Linked DNA regions of Saccharomyces cerevisiae S288C. The protein of the gene in region 4 interacts with the protein of the main gene of each other region in a biochemical or structural test. Each region holds a gene or a part of one and is shown on either strand. Other genes may lie near its edges. The genes, in order: SMC3, MCD1, SWE1 and ECO1.

The links.
Region 1: of the proteins of ECO1 (region 4) and SMC3, one has a biochemical effect on the other in vitro, tested with the Saccharomyces cerevisiae proteins (3 studies listed by BioGRID).
Region 2: of the proteins of ECO1 (region 4) and MCD1, one has a biochemical effect on the other in vitro, tested with the Saccharomyces cerevisiae proteins (3 studies listed by BioGRID).
Region 3: of the proteins of ECO1 (region 4) and SWE1, one has a biochemical effect on the other in vitro, tested with the Saccharomyces cerevisiae proteins (one study listed by BioGRID).

The regions. Positions count from the first base shown.
Region 1 is NC_001142.9:298,626-304,840, reverse strand, and holds SMC3 (cohesin subunit SMC3), read left to right. Parts: upstream 1-1,991; coding exon 1,992-5,684; downstream 5,685-6,215. Other genes in the region: JEM1 (Jem1p), read right to left, coding at 1-1,660; APQ13 (Apq13p), read left to right, coding at 5,965-6,215; NET1 (Net1p), read right to left, coding at 6,027-6,215. UniProt on the Saccharomyces cerevisiae protein: Involved in chromosome cohesion during cell cycle and in DNA repair. Central component of cohesin complex. The cohesin complex is required for the cohesion of sister chromatids after DNA replication.
Region 2 is NC_001136.10:442,637-446,907, reverse strand, and holds MCD1 (kleisin alpha), read right to left. Parts: upstream 2,226-4,271; coding exon 525-2,225; downstream 1-524. Other genes in the region: ATP16 (F1F0 ATP synthase subunit delta), read right to left, coding at 3,397-3,879. UniProt on the Saccharomyces cerevisiae protein: Cleavable component of the cohesin complex involved in chromosome cohesion during cell cycle. The cohesin complex is required for the cohesion of sister chromatids after DNA replication.
Region 3 is NC_001142.9:76,243-80,838, forward strand, and holds SWE1 (tyrosine protein kinase SWE1), read right to left. Parts: upstream 3,021-4,596; coding exon 561-3,020; downstream 1-560. Other genes in the region: 60S ribosomal protein eL39 RPL39, read left to right, coding at 83-232; alpha-1,2-mannosyltransferase MNN5, read left to right, coding at 3,913-4,596. UniProt on the Saccharomyces cerevisiae protein: Protein kinase that acts as a negative regulator of entry into mitosis (G2 to M transition) by phosphorylating and inhibiting the mitosis-promoting cyclin B-bound CDC28 at 'Tyr-19'.
Region 4 is NC_001138.5:205,485-208,863, reverse strand, and holds ECO1 (Eco1p), read right to left. Parts: upstream 1,413-3,379; coding exon 567-1,412; downstream 1-566. Other genes in the region: phosphoprotein phosphatase CDC14, read left to right, coding at 1-451; ULI1 (Uli1p), read left to right, coding at 2,607-3,116. UniProt on the Saccharomyces cerevisiae protein: Required for establishment of sister chromatid cohesion during S phase but not for its further maintenance during G2 or M phases or for loading the cohesin complex onto DNA.

The DNA.
Region 1 (6,215 bases), on a different chromosome or scaffold from region 4:
TTTCTTTCGAACTAGCACTAGGCGATACTCCAAGAATTTTATAATAGTCCTTTTTTGGGTCGTAGTTAGGCGCTGCTGGGGGTGCTTGATGTCGTTGGTGTTGTTGCTGCTGTTGTTGTTGTTGGAAATATTGCTGGTTGAAATTCCGATGTTTATGCTCTTTATAGGTTTGTAATTGTTTCTGTAATAATCGGAAGTTCTTCATCACGTATGGATTGGTCGACTCTGAGAGGCCGTTATCTTGGAAAAATTTGTTTATCTGGTCATATAATTGCTTTTTGAACTGTGAATGAGGTTTAGACCTACTTTTATTAAGTATTGAGTTTACCATATACATCAGCAAATGAGGATTGGAATTCCATACATCACTCAATACCGTCTCAGGTAAAGGTTTTTGCTCGGACTTAGCATCCTGATAGTGTTTCCATGTTTCTAGTGTTAGTGAATGCCTCAAACTCTTTTTACAGAACGGCGCAGCCAGTTTAGCTCTCTTGACGTCCGGACTCATGCTAGAAGCCTGACAAAGAATGGAATCAATGTATACTAGATAATCGGTATGATAGTATGATTTTGGTTTGACAAAACCATCGGTTATTGGGGGATCTTCGAATAAATTTTTTGCCAAAGGTCTCGACAGTTGAACGTCTTCTATCAATTGTTTGATAATTTCCTCTAAAAAGAAGTAGTTGTTTTTAAAGTTTGTATCTTTGTTAAGAATTTTCATTGGTGTAATAAATGGCTTCTTATCCTTCAAATAAAATTCAATAATTCTATCCCAACTTCTAAACTTTTTGTTCTCAAATGCATATGTTGCTGGATCCAGGATCTGTCTTTTTGATGGATTCACCTTGTTCAATTTGGAAATAGTCAGGCTTAGTTTTTTACATTTATCATAGTCCATATCAATGGAAAGGCATTTTCTTATATTGAACGACGCATCTGAGTTAAGTACAAAGGTCTGTAAAACAGATATGACATAATGAATCGAAAGTCTTGTATCTATGCTTAAGCTAGCCAAATGCTTGTCGAGGATTGTTTCGTAATCCAAAATGATAGCAGCAGCTAACGAAACGTCAATTTCTTCAGCTAGTTTGTGAAAAAGAACATCGATGTGCGTGGAGAGGACGTTAACATCGTACGGCGTTATGCGTAGCAGCTCAGAAATATCTTCCTCCACAGAAACGTCTTTGGATGATATTTTGTTTCTGATGGTTTCATTCAAGGACAGATATTTCGCATACTGATCATCCTTCTGATGCACCTTGTCCCACATCCCAAAATCGACATACAGCTCTTGTAGCCTCTTTTCCGCCAGCTTCCCAAAAGAACCTTTGTAAGTTTCATTAAAAACGATTTTTTCAAATGTGTTAATAGCTCTTAGATGTTGATCGTTGGATAATTGGATCAGCCCAATTTTGTAGTATATTTGATTGGCTAGTTGAATTACGTCTGACATATTTTCACTTGCTGGATCCGCAGTCATGCAGTTTTGTTCCAACTGCCCAGCGATCCATTGGTATTTTGGCAAGGATTCAGTGTCTACTTTTAAATTCTTGTTCAATCGTTGTAACTCAGCCAAATCACATAACTTAGAAGCCGATATCAGTACTGGCAAAATAACGCTATACACTAAAAGACAGTATCCCGAGATCAGTATCATACTTCGTTTCGTAGACGTTAAGATCGGCCTTAGTAATACACTAAACCAACAATGAATGAAACCTTCTGGGCCCTTCTCGCAACCAACTCCTTTCACTTGGAATAACTTATAAGCAGTTTTGGCTCTATTTTTGCCTGCCATCGAAGTGTACACCTGTCACATTTCACTATTAGGAACCTAAAGAAAAAAAGTCTCAGGAATAGGAAAAGACGCGACGCGTTAGGAAATGATTAAACTAATTAAAGATGAGTTTTCAACCTCATCTTTAAACAGTTTCACCATTTTTTTACAAGACGACCTGCTGGAGTAACGGTAATAGTTCACGTCTGCAATGTATATCAAAAGGGTGATAATTAAGGGTTTTAAAACCTACAGGAACGAAACCATTATTGATAATTTCTCGCCGCATCAGAATGTTATTATTGGCTCCAATGGTTCAGGTAAATCGAATTTCTTCGCTGCGATTAGATTTGTTCTTAGTGACGATTACTCTAATCTTAAGAGGGAAGAAAGGCAAGGGCTTATCCACCAAGGTTCTGGTGGTTCAGTGATGAGTGCCTCGGTAGAAATTGTGTTCCACGATCCAGATCATTCTATGATATTGCCCTCCGGTGTACTTTCGAGAGGAGATGACGAAGTGACCATTAGAAGAACAGTAGGGCTGAAGAAGGATGACTATCAATTAAATGACAGAAACGTGACCAAAGGGGACATAGTCAGAATGTTGGAAACCGCTGGTTTTTCAATGAATAATCCGTATAATATAGTACCACAAGGTAAAATAGTCGCCTTAACTAATGCCAAGGATAAGGAAAGATTGCAGTTATTGGAAGATGTTGTAGGAGCTAAGTCATTTGAAGTAAAATTGAAAGCTTCATTGAAAAAAATGGAGGAAACAGAGCAGAAAAAGATTCAAATTAACAAGGAAATGGGTGAACTAAACTCTAAATTGAGTGAAATGGAACAGGAACGTAAGGAATTAGAGAAATACAACGAGTTGGAACGCAACAGAAAGATCTACCAGTTCACATTGTATGATCGAGAATTAAATGAGGTTATCAATCAAATGGAAAGACTGGACGGTGATTATAATAACACGGTATACTCTTCCGAACAATACATCCAGGAGTTGGATAAAAGAGAGGATATGATTGACCAAGTCTCCAAAAAGCTATCAAGTATTGAAGCTTCACTGAAGATCAAAAATGCGACTGATTTACAACAGGCAAAACTACGGGAATCTGAGATTTCTCAGAAATTAACAAACGTCAACGTAAAAATAAAGGATGTTCAACAGCAAATTGAGTCAAATGAGGAGCAGAGAAATTTGGATAGTGCAACTTTGAAAGAGATCAAATCTATAATTGAGCAAAGGAAACAAAAGTTGTCTAAAATTTTACCTAGATATCAAGAACTCACAAAGGAAGAAGCAATGTACAAACTTCAATTGGCCTCCTTGCAACAAAAGCAGAGAGATCTTATCTTAAAGAAAGGAGAATATGCCCGTTTTAAATCAAAGGATGAACGCGATACGTGGATTCATTCAGAAATTGAAGAACTGAAATCTTCAATACAAAACTTAAATGAACTGGAAAGTCAATTGCAAATGGATCGTACTTCTTTAAGGAAGCAGTACTCTGCGATTGATGAAGAGATTGAAGAGCTAATTGATTCTATCAATGGACCAGATACCAAGGGTCAATTAGAAGATTTTGATTCGGAATTAATACACCTCAAACAGAAGCTGAGTGAAAGTTTAGACACTCGTAAGGAATTGTGGAGAAAGGAGCAAAAATTACAGACAGTCTTGGAAACTTTATTAAGTGACGTCAATCAAAATCAAAGAAATGTTAATGAAACCATGAGTAGATCATTGGCAAATGGTATAATAAATGTGAAAGAAATTACAGAAAAACTAAAAATATCACCGGAATCTGTCTTTGGGACATTAGGTGAACTGATTAAAGTCAATGATAAGTACAAGACATGTGCTGAAGTAATTGGAGGTAACTCCCTCTTCCACATTGTCGTGGATACCGAAGAAACGGCCACTTTGATTATGAACGAACTATATCGTATGAAGGGTGGGAGAGTGACGTTTATTCCCTTGAACAGGTTATCTTTGGACAGTGATGTTAAATTCCCCTCAAACACTACTACACAAATCCAGTTTACTCCCTTGATAAAGAAGATAAAATATGAACCCAGGTTTGAGAAGGCTGTCAAACACGTTTTTGGAAAAACTATTGTTGTCAAAGACTTAGGTCAAGGTTTAAAATTAGCTAAGAAACACAAACTCAATGCCATCACTTTAGATGGTGATAGAGCAGACAAAAGAGGTGTACTTACAGGTGGGTATCTTGACCAGCACAAACGAACACGTTTGGAATCATTGAAAAACTTAAATGAATCAAGAAGTCAACACAAAAAAATACTGGAAGAATTAGATTTCGTAAGAAATGAACTAAATGATATTGATACTAAGATTGATCAAGTAAACGGGAATATAAGAAAGGTTTCTAATGACAGGGAGTCTGTCTTAACAAATATCGAGGTATATAGAACATCGCTAAACACCAAAAAGAATGAAAAATTAATTCTCGAAGAATCATTAAACGCAATTATACTAAAACTAGAAAAGCTGAATACAAATCGTACATTTGCTCAGGAAAAGCTAAATACATTCGAAAATGATTTGCTTCAGGAGTTTGATAGCGAACTCTCAAAAGAAGAAAAGGAAAGATTAGAATCTTTAACAAAGGAGATTAGTGCAGCGCACAATAAGCTAAATATTACATCAGACGCCCTAGAAGGTATAACTACAACCATTGACTCGTTGAATGCCGAATTGGAGTCCAAACTTATCCCACAAGAAAATGATCTAGAATCCAAGATGTCAGAAGTAGGTGACGCATTTATTTTTGGTCTACAAGATGAGTTGAAAGAATTACAATTGGAGAAGGAAAGCGTTGAAAAGCAGCATGAAAACGCTGTGTTGGAACTAGGTACCGTTCAAAGAGAAATTGAAAGTCTCATTGCTGAAGAAACTAATAATAAGAAACTGCTAGAAAAAGCAAACAATCAACAGCGATTACTATTAAAGAAGCTTGACAATTTCCAAAAAAGTGTTGAAAAAACGATGATTAAGAAAACAACTTTGGTTACTAGAAGAGAAGAATTACAGCAAAGGATTAGGGAAATTGGGCTTCTGCCAGAGGATGCTTTAGTAAATGATTTTAGCGACATCACAAGTGATCAGCTATTACAAAGACTGAATGATATGAACACAGAGATTTCTGGTTTGAAGAATGTAAACAAGAGAGCTTTTGAAAACTTCAAAAAGTTTAACGAAAGACGCAAAGACCTTGCGGAGAGAGCTTCAGAGCTGGATGAATCTAAAGACTCAATTCAAGATCTAATTGTTAAGTTAAAACAACAAAAGGTTAACGCGGTTGATTCTACTTTCCAAAAGGTTTCTGAAAACTTTGAAGCTGTTTTTGAAAGATTAGTTCCCAGAGGTACTGCTAAGTTGATTATTCACCGTAAGAATGATAACGCTAACGACCATGATGAAAGTATTGATGTTGACATGGATGCAGAATCCAATGAAAGCCAAAACGGTAAAGATAGTGAAATTATGTATACAGGTGTTTCAATTTCTGTTTCCTTCAATTCTAAACAAAACGAACAACTGCATGTTGAACAGCTCTCAGGTGGTCAGAAGACTGTATGTGCCATTGCTTTGATTCTGGCAATCCAAATGGTTGACCCTGCTTCCTTCTATCTGTTTGATGAAATTGATGCTGCACTCGACAAGCAGTATAGAACTGCAGTCGCTACACTTCTAAAAGAACTGTCAAAAAATGCCCAGTTTATTTGTACGACGTTCAGAACAGATATGTTGCAAGTTGCAGACAAATTTTTCCGTGTTAAGTACGAGAATAAGATTTCCACGGTTATTGAGGTCAATAGAGAAGAAGCAATCGGATTCATTAGAGGTAGCAATAAATTCGCTGAAGTCTAAGAGATATTTGAAACGATTTGTATATAAAAATATCAGTTTTGCTTACATAAATAGCTATTTGTATGTAATTATTACCATTGTCTCCTATATTGGAATTTTAAAAAATTTTCTTTTAAGATGATACTGTTACTAAACAATAATGTTAAATATAGTAACCAAGCTTTGATAATTCGACGTACAAAAAAGATTACTTTTCTTAAAGAAGTTGCCCGCTTGCTGGGAAAAGAGGTAAATAAGAATTGGTTTACATGAAGATTTTTTAATATATTAATACTTTTATATGCTTGATTATTTTTTTTTACTAGCTTTCTGTGACGTGTATTCTACTGAGACTTTCTGGTATCATTTTTTCTTGAAATCTTTTATTAATGATGCAAATCCACCACTTGGCTTCTTCTTCTTACCTAAAGCAGCACTAGCGGATTTCGCACTAATAAAACTTTTTCCATCATCAGATGAATCCCCTGAGTCATCAGAATCTGACTCAGATTTAGAATCTGAACTGGAATCCGATACGGAGTCCGAACTGGA
Region 2 (4,271 bases), on a different chromosome or scaffold from region 4:
CTTTATCCAGAAATTGTTCAACTTTATTGTTTTGTATATTAGATAAAAAGTTGAGCCTTTAAAAACTGCATAATGTTTCCTCTGGCTGCTAATGTACCAAAGCTAATGGAAAAGAAGATTGTTTGGCCTGGAAAACTTTCTAGACGTGGCTTTATTACCAGGGTTGTGTAAGATTATGTAAGATGGTCAGTATGTAGCACTTACAATGGACCTTTCTTCTATTCCCAAGGTTTCCATGAGAAAATTTCGGCTTCACCGGTGTACGTGGGCAGACGATTCCTAATATCACTATTCAAAATAATACAGCAAGTTTTAGAATAAATACTACCCATGCACCAGCGTGTAGAGTTGCCAAGATCATTCTGCCTTGCGGCCAGTAGTGGCTCTACCGCATTAGTTTGAATTTTATCGTATTTTGTGAATATTAATATTAAATATTGACAATTTTATAAATTAAAGTCTTTGATCTATATATGCATCAGCTTATTGGGTCCACCAAGAAATCCCCTCGGCGTAACTAGGTTTTAAGCATTGATAAACCTTTCAAATAGTGCAGGTTTGGCGTCTATTTTAATATTTCCGAATGCTTCTGTTTGACTCAAACCAATACATCCTTCTGTAGCAAGTGATAAAATATCGAAAAATCCTCTACTGGCTTCTCTTTTAGTAATATTTTCTGGTTCTGTATTTGCTTGACTTTTTAGTACATCCGTGAATATTACTTCTTTTTCTTCGCTTAATTCCTTCCTTAAAATCTTCGCCATTTGAACAATAGCTTTAGAAGCCACCTCACCGGGAGTAGGACGAACTTTTTCAGTTTGGATGGTAGTTTGCTCATTTCTAGTCTTTGCGTCGATGATATTCTCTTCAGGAAAAGGAGCCTCATTTAAGCCAGCATCAATTGGTACGAAGTCTGACATGTTATCGGTCAGTTCATTGAAGGAGTTATCGTTTGTTCCCGCATTACTAATTACATCGTCGGTAAGATTAAGCGACACGTTTAACTCAGGTTCTTCAATTGACCCTTCTCGCCCATTATGTATTTTTCTTTTTTTTAGAGATTCGTAGGATAAGAAGTTCTTAAGGATTGGATCTGGTAAATAGGACATACTTTCAGTTATTTCACTCCATAATCTTTTAGTCGTAAAATTGGTGGGCTGTGGAGTCAATAAATTATTCGATCTCTCCTCTTTGTATGTATTGGATGAAGCTATGCTTTCTGAATTTTCTGTTTCTTCATCGATTTGAATACTTTTGGTATTCAGTAATTTTGAGTTCCTTCTTGTGCCAGTTTGTTTTGGCTGTGATTCTGTCATGGCATCGGTTATCGTATCTATATTGCCTGCGGGTGCTTCTTTTTCTATATCCAGATCAAATCCAAAATCCGTAGGCTCCTCAGACATGATTGATTCACCTAGCCTTCTTCCTTGCTCAACAGAGTTATCGTCATCATCGTTGTTCTGGTCATTTTTTTCGGTAATCCCTAGATCCCAACCAATAGTTCCAGCATCATCAAGAGGGAAATCGTCATCTTGTATGTAATTTTCGTGCGTATCAAAGTTGCGTGAGCTTTGTCTTGTTCCTTCTTCCCAAGATTTTGAAGTTATCGGACCTTCCTCGATGTCAAAATCAAGGTTCATACTAGACAAATTATTATGTTCGAAATCTTCATCTGGACTGAATCGTCTACCGACCTCAAGTGAAGTATCCCAGGGAGCAGCACCTTGGACTTTTCTTTCCATCGAATTCTCCTGCGCCATTAAGCCCACTGGTATAGTAGTATCATCTAAGAACTCTAACCCTGGGGTGACCAAAACTTCTCTTTCTGTAACGGCATCTTCTAACATCAATTGATGAACCCTTGTTACAGTGTTCAGTCTGTTTACTGTAGAAGTCATCTTCTGGCTTGTTTTAAATAACATACTTATCTTCGTTAATGTGTCCTTTATATCTGTAAGGAGAAAAGTGGCCTGTTTGGAATATACACGAACAATGCCTTGAAGTAATTCGCCAGATGTTCGTAAAGTTATGTATTCATTGTCCCCTGATTCGTCATCACAGCCAGAAGCTTTTGCAATTTCCTTTGCTGATTCAGCAATATGTGTTTGGATAACCGATCCTCTTGGTATATTCGACATATTTGAAGCAAGCCATATTTGTGCTAATGGACCCTTATTGGTGGCAAGTCTTAAAACAGTAAGACGTTGAGGATTTTCTGTAACCATTGTCGTGTTTCTTGTAAAGTAATTGTGCAATTGAGTTGTCTTTTCTTTGACCAGTCCTTTTTTGTTATGGATTTTCCTTTTATTGGTTTAACAATTATGTTCTCGTGACAATGGGAAAAAGGTCGGCGATTTAAGCAATAATAATAGCAAAAAGAATACTTTTTAGCACCCTATATATATGTACATATATATATATATATCATAATGAAGACAAATTCTGCTACTTTTGATACTGTATACCATACGTATGCAAGCACTGTGAGAGTAGAAAGACGCGATTTTCTCGACGCGTCCCTCCTCGAGTTATTTGTTTAGCATAAATTTTCAAACGCGAAAAATTTGAATTTCTTTTTCATTATATAATAAACGCGTTTGAAGAACATTTTTGCAGTGGTAATTGTTTTTATTTAAGAGGCCGGGAATGAAATCATCATCTCACATCCAGTCTACAGGGATCTTTTTCTTTACAAACTCTTATTCGCATAAACATTCATATTTTTGATTAGGTAATTGGAGTTCCATCACCATCAATATAGCAACTAATGAACATTCATTCTCAATTAAAAGCACCTTATTATGGAGGCTCCTTAATTTTCTTGTTCTCATACTTTTATAATCAGATATTTTGTTGAACTCAATCTCCCACTTTATTCGTGATTTAGTGTAGAACAAACTTTGGTGTAATTACTGACACGAATACGAGGAAACACTGGTTTTCGCTGGGGCATGAACGTTTTTTTCATTTTTTTAGAATATACGGCAACAGTGCCCGAAGTAAAATTGCTGTGCAAGAAGGACTAAAACATAAATAGGAAGGACTTAGGGAAGTGAAAACTCACTGGAATAACACGATGATCTGCAACTAGGGCTTTCATACAGGATTTAAAGAAACAGTTGTAAAAAGTATTACTTTCTAGGACTATTAGTTATGAAAATTACATGTTAATGTTTTCTCTTTTGTTTTCTTGTTTTTGAATATAAAATAATAAAATTTTCTGTATATATACGCTAATAAACGGTTTCTCTGTATACTTAAGACATCAACCAAAATGGAAACTTAAATTCGAGTAGAACAAACAATGAATTTTGGCGCTTTCAAGCGAATTGCTTGTCAACACTTAAAAACGTAGACTTCTTCCCCTCAAGTTCTAGAATGCGTACCATAAAAACGCTATTTCAATACGGATTGTAGGTTTTCTAAAACTTCTACTTGAATTGCAGCTTCTGCGGCTTCCCTGGCATCAGATGAACTAACGTTCTTCTTAGCTTCTGCCAACAAATTTTTTATATTTTCTTGTGAAAAGGATTCCAATGGAAAAGCTTCAATTGCAGTTACACATAACTGCGAGTCTGGTTGAACTGTTGCAAATCCACCTGATATAAAGAATTTTTTAGAGTTAGAGCCTTCCATAACTTCAACGACACCTGGTAGTAATTGTTCAACGGTGGGAACATGGTTGGCCAATACACCAATACGTCCTGACTTAGCAGGCAGGTTCACTTGAGTAACTTCGGAGCCACTATATAAAGTTTCGTGTGGTAGAGCAAATTGTAACTTCAAACCTGATGATGCGGCAGCAGCTTCTGCATATGAACGCTTAGCGACGAAATTCAATGATCTTGATGCACTCTTTCCAATAATTGAACGTAACATTTTCCTATCCTCACGGCTACAGTTATACCTTCACAAATTGATTGAGGCTCTTTTAGCAGTGTGTGTACGATACCTTTATTGTTATCCTCCATCTAATTTAACATGAACTTTTACAATGATGGGACGGCCCCTTCCTAGACGACTCCATAATGCGCTTTGATTGGCTGGGCATCTATTTTCGTTAAAGGTGATTACAGGCGGTGACCGAGGTGAATAATATACAAATTAGCTATTATTACCAAGTCCTAAGAATAATATTTAAATGAGGTTGTCTACATTTTTAGCTTATAGTCTTCTTTCTTTTCTATATTATTTGAAGTTGTGTATAAGTATTTTTATTGCAAGGCCAGAGCTTGTCAATCATCAATCTCCTAGGCATTTCACACTTGTCT
Region 3 (4,596 bases), on a different chromosome or scaffold from region 4:
ATTGATGAGTTTGAACATTGTTACTAACATTTTTTACAATTGTACACTTCGTATGTGCACGATATGTTTCCCTTTTAATTAGGCTCAAAAGTCTTTCAGAATCAAGCAAAAAATGGCTAAGGCTAAGAAGCAAAACAGACCATTGCCACAATGGATCAGATTGAGAACCAACAACACTATCCGTTACAACGCTAAGAGAAGAAACTGGAGAAGAACCAAGATGAACATCTAAGCGAAGAACATATTTATGCTTCAAACTTTTTGTCATTTGTCTTCCATCCTTCCCTTATTCTCAATATATATGTAATACGTCGTATTTGATATATATATATATATATATATAATATAATTTAACGGTTGTTATCTGCTACATCTGTAAAATAAAAATAAAAATGCTTGAAGCGGCTGTACTTAAAATAAACTCATCTAAGGTTTTACATGGTATTACTACCGGACTGCAATTACACTCTTTTTCGTTATTGGATTATTTATACAATGCGGCCCATAAGCACGTGTGGGAAAAAAGTATGTAAATAAAACAAGGTTTTTTGTTCCATTTATCATATAAAAAATTTTGGCTTAGGTCCAAAGTCGTCTTCCTGGATAATAGCACCTGCATTGCGTGTCATTTCTACATACAGGCATTCCTCAGTTTGTAAGATTTGATTTGCCGTGGGCCTTCTCTCATAATTGGGCTCTATCATCCATCGTACTATTCTCTCAAGTGATTCACCATCAATAAGAAATTTCGGTACCCATGCGGGAATTTTAGAACTTTTATGCAAAATAAGACGATTCTTGGTAGCGGCAGTATTGACATTATTATTATCGTTGCCATTATTCATATTAGGGTTGTTGATATTACTATTGTTATGAACAGTGGAGGTGCCAGCGTTGTTACTATTACCACTGATATTGTCTCTTTCAAAATCAAATAAATCATTTGTATCTACTTTCGTAATGTCTGAAAATAATGATTCAGAATGAATATCTGTGGAACTTAATCTTCCTGCATCCGATAAATCACCCGATCTCAACTTATGCCATGCGTTGCCATTGTCAGGTAACACAACGTTCGCTGCAATTTCAACAATCATCAGACCCAGGGAAAAAATATCTGCCTTGTAATCGTACGTACAATCAGAAATGATTTCTGGTGCAATATATTCTCTGTCACCTTCATTTTCAAAACTTTTATCCTCCAACGGTAAATGAGTAGCCATTCCAAAGTCACCTAGTTTTAGGTTACCTTCAAATGTGATCATGACGTTTGCGGGTTTCAAGTCCAGATGCACAATGTGACAAGAATCATGGATGAATCGTAAAGCCAGGCTTAATTCCACGATGATTTTCCAAATTCTCCAATCTTCCAACCTTTTTTTCTTTGCGATAACTTGCTCTTGTAAAAATCCATCCAAATTACCATTTTCGCACAATTCTGTCATAATATAGTATGAATTTTGAAACTTCCAGGAACTGATGTAATCGATGATGTATTCCTTCCCTTCTTGATCCATTGTAATTTGGTTTGTTACCTCGTTTAGTATTTTAATTTCCAGTAATATGCGTTTCAAGGAATTATATTTGTTTGGTTTAATGGCTTTGATTGCATACTTTTTGTTTGTTTGGGCAAACGTAACCTGGTAGACCGTGGAAAACTGGCCTTTACCAATGGAATGCACATTCGTAAATTTTTCGAAAAGATGGGAATCTGGATTTGCTGATAACTTATTTGAAGAGATTAGACGCCTTTTGGAATTTAACGGCGAAGAATCGGTGGAAGATATGGAATGCGTCTCTGCACTTGTTGTGTTTGTCACGATGGCAGAGGAGAGTGACAATGGTCTGCTTTCTCTATGTGTTTGAGATGTTGCCCCAATAATAGATTTTCGTCTTGTTGGAGTGGAGATCTCTTCGTCAGTGTCATTGTCATAGCGTCCACGAAATTGATAAGGTTGAGGGTTCTTTCTAGTTGAATGATGACTTGATATTATGATTGGAGGTGGGAAATTCTCGTCCGTGCCGTATAAATCATCTTTGAATTGTTGTAAACTGTTTGTTAGCTCTCTATTTTTCAAAATAACCGAATTCCTTGCTCTTTTGATTTTTTTGAACTTGTTAGAATGCAATGTTTGTGGAGAGCTGTTGGTAACCAAGCTATTAGTGGGAGACAGGATGTTTGTCTGGTTATTGTGACGATCATGTGCATGATATTTTGCCTCGCTCAGTGGGGATGAGTCTATGGTTGGTACATGGATGGAAGGTAAAGCTTTCGAAGACGGAGAATCTGAAAATAAAAGGTCTTCTTGTAAATTATTGTCTTCAACAAAATTTAAAGGGGAAACACTTAGAGAAGACGATGCATTTTTCGAACTCGAAAGGTGGACATGCTTATGGTCTCTTCCCTCCACTAAGGGTGATTTTTTCACTGGTGTTTCTGGTATCCTCAATTTCGCAGGGTATAACGAAGTGTCCATAGACATTTTAGATACGAGGCCCGAAGACGTAAAGGCTGATTGGTTAGGTTTAGCGACGCTATATGAAGAGGATGAGGATGTATTTTCAGTGCGAGCATCATTTTTCGGAAACCATCGCTGGTTCCATTGTTTGAGAGAAATAGGACTGTTCGTTTTTTCCGCAGATCTTTTTGTAATAGGAGTAGTAACACTTTCATTTTCATGGAACGGAGACCACCTTTTAATACGAGAATCCACGCTTTCCTCATCCTTGCCTTCTTCCTCCTCTTCTTCCTCTTCTTCAATTTTCCCAAGAAATTTGGAGTTAGCCTCTGACAAAGCTGTATTACTTAATGACAGGTTCAAGGTCCCCGTACTTCTTGTCAATTTGTTGTTCGAATATGGATAAAATTTCAGTTTATTGGTCGGGGTGCTACCCCCTATAGCAAAATCATCACTCTCGTCTTCGCCGGCCTGTTTGCCAAACATCTTCTTCCCCATAAACTGGAGGTTCTCCGTGTCCAGCATTTCGAAGTCCTCTTCATCCTCGTCCAAAGAACTCATCTGTTCTCGTGTGCGCCTGTGTGTGTTTACTTTTCCCCAGCACTACGCAATCAAAAATAGTAAGACCTGTTCAGTAGTAATCCTTTTTTTATTGGACTAACTGCGCAAGATGATGTGCAGGATAGTTAACACACGCATACATACAAAAAAGAGCCTCTTGGACAACCTTTACTTAATACACAGGGGCACGCCAATGTTCAACTGTGTTGTTGATTTCTTATCCAGCATTCTTTTACTTCTCTGCATTTTTTTCGCGTCGCGTCGCAAATTGTGATGGTTAAAAGAAAAATGAAAAAATATTTTTCGCGTCGTTATCACCCGGAGGAATAAAAAAAAGAAACATACACATCACGTGACCACAAGAATGTTAGAAAGGCTTACCAGTACTAGAGACGTTAATAAATTGCGAATAGCCCCCTATCTCCCACATGTTGGCATCTGTGAGGTGGAACCTATTTAAAGGTGCCACATTTCTTTCCTTAGAGGACGATGGTTGCAAGATCAGCACAAATCCATAGTTTGATGCATGGAAAGCGAAGCACTCTAACAGAAGTAAGATAATAAACAATCTCACGATTCTACTGATTTAAGTGCAACTAGCTCTTGGGCTTCTTTTGGTTGCCAAGTCGGAATAGACGACAGATGCATGTTTCGGTGCAGAGTTCAGAGAGATAAGTGCCTTCTTTTATCTTTTTCCCCGTTCTTGCGGATTTTTTTTTTCACTTTCTCATCGGCGGGGAAAAAAAAGTGTAACAACTAAAGGATCAACACGGCTTTAAAGTGTTTTATATATACGCAGATATGAAAAAAGCATTTTCACGGTTATTGGAAATTTTTATTTTACGACTGGTTCCTAGCACAACAAGAGGATATACTAATAGTTCAGGTTACAATGCTGATTAGGTTAAAGAAGAGAAAAATCCTGCAGGTCATCGTGAGCGCAGTAGTGCTAATTTTATTTTTTTGTTCTGTGCATAATGATGTGTCTTCTAGTTGGTTATACGGTAAAAAGCTTAGATTGCCGGTTCTAACAAGGTCGAACCTTAAAAACAATTTTTACACAACACTGGTACAAGCCATCGTGGAAAACAAGCCGGCAGATTCGTCTCCGGACTTGAGTAAGTTGCATGGGGCGGAAGGGTGTAGCTTTGCAAATAACGTTGCTGCACACGACTCTGGACACGATAGTGACTTAAGTTACGAGAGCTTGAGTAAATGCTATAATTTGAATAAAACAGTACAAGAAAGCCTACGAGAAGTGCACAGTAAGTTTACAGACACCTTATCAGGGAAACTGAATTTTTCCATCCCACAAAGAGAGGCACTTTTCTCAGGTTCTGAGGGCATTGTCACCATTGGAGGTGGAAAGTATTCTGTGCTCGCGTATACGATGATCAAAAAGTTGAGGGACACGGGTACTACATTGCCTATTGAAGTCATCATTCCGCCTCAGGACGAAGGCGAGGATGATTTTTGTAAGAACTGGTTGCCGAAATTCAATGGTAAGTGCATTTATTTCTCAGATATCGTTCCTTCAAAGCCATTAAGCGATTTAAAACTCACGCACTTCCAGTTG
Region 4 (3,379 bases):
TAGTGCCAGAAATTCGAGCCAACCTTCTACGGCGAATAATGGAAGTAATTCATTCAAGAGCTCAGCCGTCCCACAGACTTCGCCTGGTCAGCCGAGAAAGGGCCAAAACGGTTCTAATACTATAGAAGATATCAACAATAATCGTAATCCAACTTCCCATGCGAATAGGAAGGTAGTAATAGAAAGCAACAACTCAGATGACGAATCCATGCAGGATACCAACGGCACAAGTAATCATTATCCCAAAGTTTCGCGCAAGAAAAATGATATCTCCTCTGCTTCATCGTCCCGAATGGAAGATAACGAACCCAGCGCAACGAACATCAATAATGCCGCAGATGATACCATACTAAGACAACTATTGCCCAAGAATAGGAGAGTAACGTCAGGGAGAAGGACTACAAGCGCCGCCGGTGGTATAAGAAAAATAAGTGGCTCCATCAAGAAATAATTTATTTCATTTTTATATATATATATATCATATAATAAAAAAACTTACTAATAATAACCTTGAAAAGTTTTATGCCATTTTTCCAGTGTCCCTTCTCGCTGTCTTTTCGAAAGAGTCATATGTATACCGGCAATAGTAACTTGCCTGATTTATGCATAATGCCGTTGTATTTGCTAGCCAGTTTTCCACCGCTGTCTGTGGGTTGCGACCATGCTACCTGGTACCTAGGAATAACTTCACCGTAAACAATATTTTCTCTTGCAACGTCAATCAATTTGGTTGCGATACCCAACTTCCTTGCTGTCCTGCACACCCAAATTCTCGATATGCCAATCTTAAAATCGGGGTACACATTCTGTACCAATCTTCTAGAATCATAAACCATCCAACGTCCACGACTAGATGTTTTACCATTGCCCCCATAAAGGTTCTCTATAATTATTATTCCGACCGCCCTGTCATTTCTTATGTATACAAACGCTTTGCCTTTTTCTTCTGTGGTACTGTTCCAAATGACATTCTCATCGTGTGGCGCATTCAGCTCGTTATTCACTAGTGTCATTATCTCCGTCATGGCTCGGACTTCACCATTCGACTTATCTGGTCTCACATATACAATCTTCTCCTCCTGATGGGTAATAGACGGACTACTTTTTTTCAAAGGTGAGGAGTTCAATGGCGTTATTGTCCCTGTCGATCTTGATAGATGCACCGTCCTTGAATGGTTTCGCTCTGTGTATACTATAGAACCCCAATTCGGCGACCATTTACGTCCATGCAGCTGTAAAGTGTGGTATTTCTCGTGGATGGCGCGATCTTCTATTGATGTCGAGGAATATGACATCTCACATTTATCACACTTGACTATTTTATTCGATTTCGAACCATTATTAACTTGCAATTTAGACTGGATAAGATTTGGTTTACTGCCCGCTTTTCTCTGCGATTTCCTAGCTTTCATTTTGTGCAACGATTTATATTCTGTTGAACCCTAATATGTAAACATAGATATATGTTGATGTCCGTTGTAGCTGGCATCTCCTTATGTATTATTACTGATTACAGTACGCGAAAGGCTTTTTTTCTATTACGCGTTGACGTTAAATTTCATTTGTTAAGATTCTTCCCTAAGTCGAAGGATGATCAAGGCGGCAGGAGGTTTCAACATGCCAACAATGGAAGTGGTTAAGAGACGTTTTCTGGTTTCTGGGCAGCTGTTACATAGAATCTCTGATTTACATGCTCAAGTATTCGCAAAGATCGGTATGATGGGAAAATAGGTGAATTTTGGGATAATGACTGAGATTATACCGTTGTTAATGCTATAATATTAATTATACAGAATATATTAGAAGTTCTCCTCGAGGATATGGGAACCCACAGAAGCGAATCGATGTTTCTACATAAAAGAAAAAAATAATCTCATTTTATCTTCGGTTTTGAATCTTTTCATTTTTTTTTCCTATTACATTATCAATTCTGGCATTTCAGTGTTTATAAAAAGATCAAATTGCTGTTTGAAACTCATTGCGCTAATTCCATAATTTTGCACCATGTATGCTCATGACTCCATATAGGACAACATACTGGTAGGAATATTATCAAGTGAACGATAACGGTTCTTCTCCCAACAAGAAGTAAGCCTGGTGAGTGTATTTTGAAGCTTTTTGGAGGGGCGGCCACGGAATAAGATATGAACACATACTGGCAATTGGGCTGAGATCTGATTACATTGTCGACAGATTCCCATGAAGGTGTTTGAGAGAATTTTGATTGAGTCGTTATACAAATTGCTGTGGACACGTACGCATAAAGTAGTTCGGGCAGCTATGTTTGCCACGTAGTAGCTACAATATTAAGCATAGCAGACTAAATGCAATTGGCTGTGTTGAAAGAAACTTCTGAACTGAGATTCAAGTAACGTGATTGTGTGCGCCATTTTACACAGGCTGCGCGGCAAATCAAAACCAAAGATACTTCTCCGGAGGTATACGTGTTGCATTTTCAACAGACTATACGAGTTTTTTCTGATCGTTGTATATTTAAGTGCAGCTTGGACTTACAAGCTCTATACTAGGATAATGATCTCATTGGATTCAAGAGAAAGAAACTCTATACTGGCGCCAAATTAGCAGTGTCAAATTTCGAAAAGGTGATGACGCCCTATGCAGTAGCAATTACCGTGGCCTTACTAATTGTAACAGTGAGCGCACTCCAGGTCAACAATTCATGTGTCGCTTTTCCGCCATCAAATCTCAGAGGCAAAAATGGAGACGGTACTAATGAACAGTATGCAACTGCACTACTTTCTATTCCCTGGAATGGACCTCCTGAGTCATTGAGGGATATTAATCTTATTGAACTCGAACCGCAAGTTGCACTCTATTTGCTCGAAAATTATATTAACCATTACTACAACACCACAAGAGACAATAAGTGCCCTAATAACCACTACCTAATGGGAGGGCAGTTGGGTAGCTCATCGGATAATAGGAGTTTGAACGATCCGCAAACGATGCTATGGCCGGAAAAGAAGGAAGACGAAAAAAACTGCCAAGAAACTTTTAAAGGGGCCTGTTCGTGTACCAAAAGGTTTTGCAAGGGTTATTTCTCTGTAAATATTTTTGGGATAAACCTGAATATATCTTATAGCTCTGGAAAGTGATTGACATGTCATTTTTTGGAAATTAGTTATAGATACATAGAATATACTAAAGAATTCTCCTTGAAGACCATGGTCACCGAAAATTTCACAGAATACTACAAACTATTCTCTTATTGATGTTTCTCCTTAACACCCAGGGTGCTTTAGCTACAATGAAGTTAATAGCAATATCTATATGGTTGCACTGGCCTCTAGCTGCGAATACGATAATACGAATGCGTAGGTAAATGATAATTATCATCTATCGATTAGTGTTTCTTCCT